2 linked regions of the Coturnix japonica genome follow. The protein of the gene in region 2 interacts with the protein of the main gene of each other region in a pairwise test. Links are inferred from orthologs where the notes say so. Each region holds a gene or a part of one and is shown on either strand. Other genes may lie near its edges.

Evidence for each region.
Region 1: the proteins of MORN3 (region 2) and RSPH1 interact in binary tests that used the Homo sapiens proteins (3 or more experiments, as listed by UniProt). The two-hybrid records come from large-scale screens. The link is inferred for Coturnix japonica from reciprocal best matches to the Homo sapiens genes MORN3 and RSPH1.

Annotation. Positions count from the first base shown.
Region 1 is NC_029516.1:98,604,704-98,608,453, reverse strand, and holds the start of RSPH1 (radial spoke head 1 homolog), read left to right. Parts: upstream 1-1,245; 5' UTR 1,246-1,318; coding exon 1,319-1,372; intron 1,373-1,756; coding exon 1,757-1,870; intron 1,871-1,989; coding exon 1,990-2,095; intron 2,096-3,606; coding exon 3,607-3,697; intron 3,698-3,750.
Region 2 is NC_029530.1:4,805,262-4,809,011, reverse strand, and holds the end of MORN3 (MORN repeat-containing protein 3), read left to right. Parts: intron 1-993; coding exon 994-1,178; intron 1,179-2,331; coding exon 2,332-2,403; 3' UTR 2,404-3,248; downstream 3,249-3,750. UniProt on the Homo sapiens protein: Assembles a suppression complex (suppresome) by tethering SIRT1 and MDM2 to regulate composite modifications of p53/TP53.

The DNA.
Region 1 (3,750 bases), on a different chromosome or scaffold from region 2:
ATGAGCTATGATGGAGTGACCAGTAAAACTCCCTTAATGACCAGTAGCTCCTTTAGTGACTAATAACTTCCTTAGCTAGGGAAGGTTTCTAGAGTATTTTCCTAAAGAATAACAAAGAATTGCTTTGCACTGAAGTAAATAAATTAATTTTATAAGAATGATTGATCTAGCATGCTGCAGCTCACATTTGAAACACAATGAAATGCCCAAGTGGAGCTGGTAATGAGTTGTGTCCACCAGATGTACATCCCAGGACCAGTATTCTTTAATATCTTTATTAATGACATAGACAGCGGGATTGAGTGTACCTTCAGCTAGTTTGTGGACAACACCAAACTGAGTGGTGCATTTGGTACAATAGAAGGAAGGGGTGCCATCCAGAGGGACCTTGATAAACTCAAAAAGTGGGCCTATGTGAACCTAATAAGGTTCAACGAGGCCAAGTGCAAGGTGTTGAAGCTGGGTCAGGGCAGTGCACGATATGTGTTCAGATTGGGACAATAATTCCTTGAGATCAGCCCTGCTGAGAGGGACTTAGGAGTCCTGGTGAATGAAAAACATGACATGAGCCAGTAGCATGTTCTTACAACCTGGAAGCCCAATGGTATCCTGGGCTGCATCAGAAGAGGGGTGTCCAGCAGGGAGAGGGATTGTCCCCCTCTGCTCTGCCCTCACCAGGCCCCATCTGGAGTACTGTGTCCAGACCTGGGATCACCAGCACAAGAAGGATGGGAGCTGTTGGAGAGGGACCAGAGGAGGGCACAAAGATGTTCAGAGGGCTGGAGCACCTCTCCTGTGGAGAGAGGCTGGAGGAACTGGGCTTGAGCAGCCTGGAGAAGAGAGAGCTCCAGGGGGACTTCATTGCAGGGTCCCAGCACTTGGAGGGAACATTTAAGCAGGAGAGGGAGTGACTTTTTATTGGTTGACAGCGATGGGACAAGGGAGAGTGTCTTTAAATTTAGACGGGGAGATTTAGATTAGATACTAGGGGGAAATCTTTCACTGAGAGGGCAGTGAGGCGCTGGCACAGCTGCCCATAGAAGCTGTGGTGCCCCATCCCTGCAGGCACTCAAGGCCAGGTTGGATGGGCCCTGGGCAGCCTGAGCTGGAGGGGGGCAGCCCTGCCCACGGCTGGGGGTGGGGTGGGTGGGCTGTGAGCTCCCTTCTAACCCATCTAACTCTGTATTAACGCGGCGCTGTCTCCTCATCGAGGTGCCCTCAGCACCCGGGACAGCAGGCGCGCCCCCGCCGGCCATAACGGTAACGCAACGCGCGTGCCCGGTTGCCATCACGACGGCTGAGACGCGGAGGCAGCAGCATGTCGGAACAGAGCGACGAGGAGGGCGAGGAGGAGGCCGAGCCTTACCTGGGGGTTCGGCAGGGAGCGGGGCCTCGGGGCAGGGCGGGGAACGGAAGAGAGAAGCTACTGCTTGTGGGGGCTTTGATACCGTAGGCCCCGTGGGGAGATCTCAGGGTGCTACACCAGAGGGAGGGCTGAGCTATTTTGGCTGGGACCTATTTTCTTCACAGGTCATCCATGCTTCCCAGCAATGAGTCAAGAAGGAAAGAAGGGCCCTGTGTGCTGGGATCTGAAGGGAGAGCCTGCGGAGAAGCAGCACACGCTGGCCAGGCTCTTCTGCATGCTCTGCTTGGAGCACAGCTGGAGCACCTTTGAGAAAACGTGGCTTCCTCTAATTAGGTTGATTTCAAGCAGGTCTATTGCTCTTAAACAATTTTTCTAATTGCATTTGATTAGGAGTATGATGGTGACCGCAATAATGAAGGTGAACGGCACGGACATGGGAAAGCAGTGCTGCCCAATGGTGATAAGTATGAGGGTGAATACGAGCACAATCTCAGAAATGGGCAGGTGAGACAGTAACCAGACAGTGGCTGTGTGGTTGTGTTTCTGCAGTTCTGTGAGTCTCTGCACTATACTGAAATGAGTGAGAACTGACAAGTCTTTTACCTATATCAAATATCTTTTAGGGGACCTACAGATTTAAATCTGGTGTTTGCTACATTGGAGAATATCTTCAAAATAAAAAGCATGGCCAAGGTACATTTTATTATCCAGATGGATCAAAATATGAAGGTAAAAGCACTGAACATGGTTGCACAGATTTCTGTAATTGAAAAGACGTGTTTCTCCAGCTCCTGGAATACAAGAAGACAGCAAAGTGGAGATTATTTTAAAAAGATACATTTGCTATAAAACATTTTCCCGTTATTCCTTTTTTACTATGAGCTCCAAGAGCAGATTTATTTATTTATTTATTTATTTATTTATTCATGGGGATTTACTTGAAATACTCTGATAAGTGTGGTATTTAGTAGCAATTTATTCTAGACATGTCCTTATTTCAAGTGAGGCATTACACGTCCTGAGAAATGCCAAGCATCATGTCTAATCTGGTGCAATCTTGATAGAAGAGGGTATAATTGCTCGTATCTAATCATATGTATGATGATTAGAATTGCTGTGTTCAGTATAGACTCATACAATTATTTGAGTTGGAAGGATCCCTTAAAGGTCATGTAGTCCAACTCCCCTGCAATGAAAAGGGACACCTACAGCTACATCAGGTTCTCAGAGCCCCATCCAACCTAACCCTGAATGTGTCCAGGGATGAGACATCCAGCACCTCTCTAGGCAAACTGTTCCAGTGCTTCATCATCCTCATTGCAAAAAATGTCTTCCTTATATACAGCCTAAATCTCTCTGGTTTTAGTTTGAAAGCATTTACCCTCATCTCATCACAACAGACCCTGCTAATGAGTCTGTTGTGACACCTAGAGATGGGAATTAACAGGATATGTCTTAAGCCAGGATTAATATAGTTGAGATGACAAATACCATGGGCCTCTGTTTTCATATCGTCTTCTTTGTACTGATTTTATAGCTATTGCTTAAGAGGCAAAAAAGCATAATGAAGGCAGTGGAAGTAAATGAGCAGGGAACAAGAAGGCAGAGTTGGCAAAGACAGATAACAGAACTTGGAAACTCTGTGTATGGGGAAGCCTTTCCTTGATAACAAAGAGCAAAGAAGATAGTATCTCAATAGGGGAAGAAAACCATCCCAAGTGAAAACATTAGTATTGTCTTTGCCTCTAACGTTGAATTGTTCCTACACTTATACTCAGGTCGGAAGGTGGAAAGTTACTGGATAGTCTTGCATATGGAGCTGCTATCTACCCTGTTGTGTCTAATGATCTCATCTCATCTCATCCATCAAAATTCTCATCCATTTGTCAGATGTATAATAAATCATCCTTTTCTTTGCCACAGAGTATCAGTGCCTCTTTGATTTAATCTGTTTTGATATTAACATTGACATACTTAAATACTGATATGCAAATCAGATATGCTTAGATTTTAATCAACAAATGTTTCCCATTTACATTAGTTTTTTTGTGTTCAGTGGGAAAGAACAGGATTTGTTTTAGCAGTCAGTCATAATGGTGTCATAGTTTTCTTTTCCTTCTCTAATGAGGTGTATTCTCCACTCAGTTGAATTAATGTATGACAATTTTACAAACTGACTGCTATATCACATGACTAAATATACTGCTTCTCACTGTGTTATTGATATGTTCTTTTTAAAGGAAGCTGGGTAGATGATCAGAAACATGGGTATGGAGAATATACCTACCCAAATGGAGACACCTATGCTGGAGAATGGTTTAAGGACAACAGGTTTGTTTTGTTCTTTCAGTGATGTTTGAAGTCACTCTCTGTAGCATCACAAT
Region 2 (3,750 bases):
TCACAGATTGGAGCTGCTGGGGGCAATCCCACCATAAAATAGAAATCTGGATCTTTTTCCCTGTTATTTTGCTAGCAGCTCAGTGTTTTTTTCCCCAAAGCCAAGAATCCCAGCCCTCTGCAGTATGGAACAGCACATTCCAGAACACTGGAAGAAACGCCATCACTGCAGGTCATCATCATTCCCATTATTAATCTCTTTATTTTCTGGGGGGCAATCTCCAGGCAAATCACTTGCTAAGCAAAGCAGCCAGGAGGAACGAGCGTGACCCCCCTGCACATTGCGTACACATCTACGCTTTCTCTGCTGGCTGTAAACCCATTTTGGATCAATGGCTCATAGCAATGACACCAACGCATGCGTTCAGGGTCGGCTCATTCAGCTGCCCCATTCTGTTCCCATCCAAGCCACTCTCCCTGTTACAAATCAGACACTCTCTGGGTTTAGCAACTGCTGTTGTACTGCCCAAGAGCCCGCCTGCCCCAGGCAGAGCCCGGGACCCCACCGAGCTGGATTCCTTCTGGTTAAAATTAGCCAGAGCGATTATTTCATACCCATAAGCCGAACACATTCAGCTCGGCCGCTGGAAGCGTGCCCTGTGCTGGCAGCATTGCAATGGTAAAAGAAAAAGGAGCTCTCCAGAGGAGGTCACAACGAGCCACAGCTCAGATTAAATCGCTCACCCTGGCCACGTGCCTGGCAGGGGGAGCAGTCAGGAGCAAGGTGCTGCTTCACCAGCACAGCTCAGAGCAGCGATAAGCAATGCAGCCATAAGCAATGCAGCCATAAGCAATGCAGCCATAAGCAATGCAGCCATAAGCAATGCAGCCATAAGCAATGCAGCCCTGGGGTCCTCTGCTGGGGCAGCAGATGTGAGCAATGCATGGGAACACCAGAGTGTTCCTTCCTGTGCAGGCTACAGCCCCAGCTTTGTGTCCAACCTCTTGATGAACACATGCACATTTCACAGCCTGTTCATGTATTTGATTGCAGCAAGTAACAATAGGTACGAAGGAGGTTGGAAGGATGGAAAGAAACACGGCCCAGGCAAATTCTACTACTTGGATAAGGGGCAACTGTTTGAAGGCATCTGGGTGACAGATGTACCGAAGTGCGGGACTATGATTGACTTCAGCAGAGATGCAGCTCCTGCCCCTACTCGGTATCCAATCCCAAAGGTAACTGCTTGGAAATGCTGCTTTTGCTAACCATGTTTACACCAATAGTGCTTATAAGAGCTCACAGTACCTCTCTGGACCATGCTTTCTCTTCAGGTAGTCACTCAGGGTCTGTGCTCGAGCTCTTTTGGTCAGCAGCATCCCATTCCATAGAGAGCAGCCAAACAATGCAGAGCTTTGCATTGTAAGGTTCTCCAACAAATATCACAGCAGCACAGAATAATAAAAACCAAACACTCACCAGAGAAAAACAGCCCTAATGTTGCAAAAAGAGCAGCTTCTGTAACTAAAAATCTTTACCTCACATGGTTTGTTAGAGGTCACCCAACAGAGCTGCCTCTTTGGCAGCTCAGCCCAGGGCACAGGATGAGTTTTGTAGCTGCTAAAGCAGGATGTTCGAGCCCAGCAGCTCAATTAACTCCCTTGGAGACCAAATTATGACCTAATTTTCCTTGTTTTATGAACCAAAAGAAAGCATCAGCTCTCACTGCCGTTATTGTGCTTTCAGCTGGGAGAGATTTATTGATCTCAGAATAGGAATGAAGAAACATAAAAGGAGAAAAATTGACTGCAGGTTTTCATGAACCGTTTGTCAAATTACCGTCAGTAGCAGCTGTGAGGGAAAACTCAGCATCTTCCCTTTCAGGGCGTGCAAGGATAATGAGCAACAGGAGGATGTGTTTGAGAGGGCCCTAACTGTAGTGAGGGGAAGGACAACTGAGTGGCCTCGGAGCAGCTGCTGTTGTGCTTCCCTGTGCATTACCTGCACCCACCCCATTTGACAGCAAGGACTCCTGCTGTCACATAACTTACTGATGCTGAGTGTAATGGCTGCTTATTACTCACTGTCTGAAACCACAGGTGAGATCCAACAGGCTGCAGACCAAAGCCAGTTTTGCTCAGGAACGTGCTTTTGTTAAAGAAGAATCACTGCGGTGCTCCACTTTCAGCTGCTGCAAGGAGACAAATGGATGTTCAACCCTGTAATGAAATTTGGGAAGTGCAGTGATGTTTCTGAATTAGTAACTGAAAGGCTGTGGGATAAACTACAGTCTTGCTGCGTGGGAGATGCTCTGTTAACGTTAATCAATATCTATAAACTTTAAGCCTCTTTAATTACATTGCATAATTGATTTCTGTTCTTTTTATTTAGATTGAACTGGCTGATCCTGATGGTGTTTTAGCAGAGGCCCAAAAGATGTTTGCTGACAGCCAAAACGAATAACTGGATGCTAAAGGACAAAAGATGCAAGATAAGAACATGATCTGGGATACTTGCCTATTTGAGTCCCATGTCTGTGCTGCTGTACATCGTCTTGTGGTCAGCCTCACTTGTCCCCCAGAACTGCCCCTGTTTGCTTCACTGTGCAGGCAGGCTTTGCTTCAGGCCTCCTCCCACCCACTGTTACTTAAAACACAACAAGCAGCAGCAAATAAAAACCATCCACACCACCAAAATACGCTGGTGGATGCAGTGACTCTTTGCCCAGATCCTGGCCTATTCCTCCTGCTGGTCACAAGGTCTGTGGCCGACTGCTGAGAAACAACACGCTGCAGGATGCTGCGTCATCAGTTCTGATTTAAGCTACACTTCAGAGCACCATGTCTCGTTTACAGCTGTAAAGCTGGTCCCTTTTCACATTTTCTCAGTTGGAAGATAACCTACTTTTCTATTTAAACACTTGGAAAAGAACAACAGAGCACTTAGTGTCAAGATTTAAACAGTGCTGATGGGAGGAAAAGCATTCCGCCAACATTGTGCTCTTTATACCTGTGTGAACGGGAAACGTCATCCTTGTACGACTGCAACGAGTACCTGCACACATTTCAGAGACCCTCAGAAACACGGCGAGGGGCAGCACAACACAGGCAAATAGAGGCGGGGGATGTAGAGAAAATGAGCATTTTCAGGCATCTGGGTAACAATCAGCAATAGTTGAGTATGTTTTATTTCATTATCTGAAGTTGTTTTATATCTAAATAATTGACAAACAATAACTGACATTTAAAATGCTTGAGGTAAACGTGAAATACCATTAGTATAAATAAAGAATAAAAAACAAACGTTAAGTGCACTCGTAACATCTGGAGCCATACGCTCAGGCCTGGTTACTGCCTCTGGCACACAGCTATGAGACGTGTCCAAGGCACAACTTTCATGACCATTCCCACAGCTGGAAAAGGAGAGAAACACACTTGATACCAGAGATTAAAGTGCAGGAAATAGTCAGTCAAATGGCTGTAGCTCACAGCTCCCACAGGTTAGGACCCACTGGCTTAAGAAAGTTAAAAAATAAGCTCGTAGCTTTATATTTCCTAAACAAAACACTTTCATTTTGTAAAAGATCCACAAGATAAAAAGAAATCCAGAAACTTACCAAGAACAGCAAATAACTTTACAAAATAAGCTTTGTAAATTAAGCTTTGATAATATATTTTCTGGACTTACATTCAAAATAACGTTAGGAGTTTTAAATACATCATTTACAGACAGACACACAATTCTTCAGCCCTACAGCACCACTTGTTCCAGGACACACATCAAGTCCAACCTGCTTCCTTTCCCTGCTGC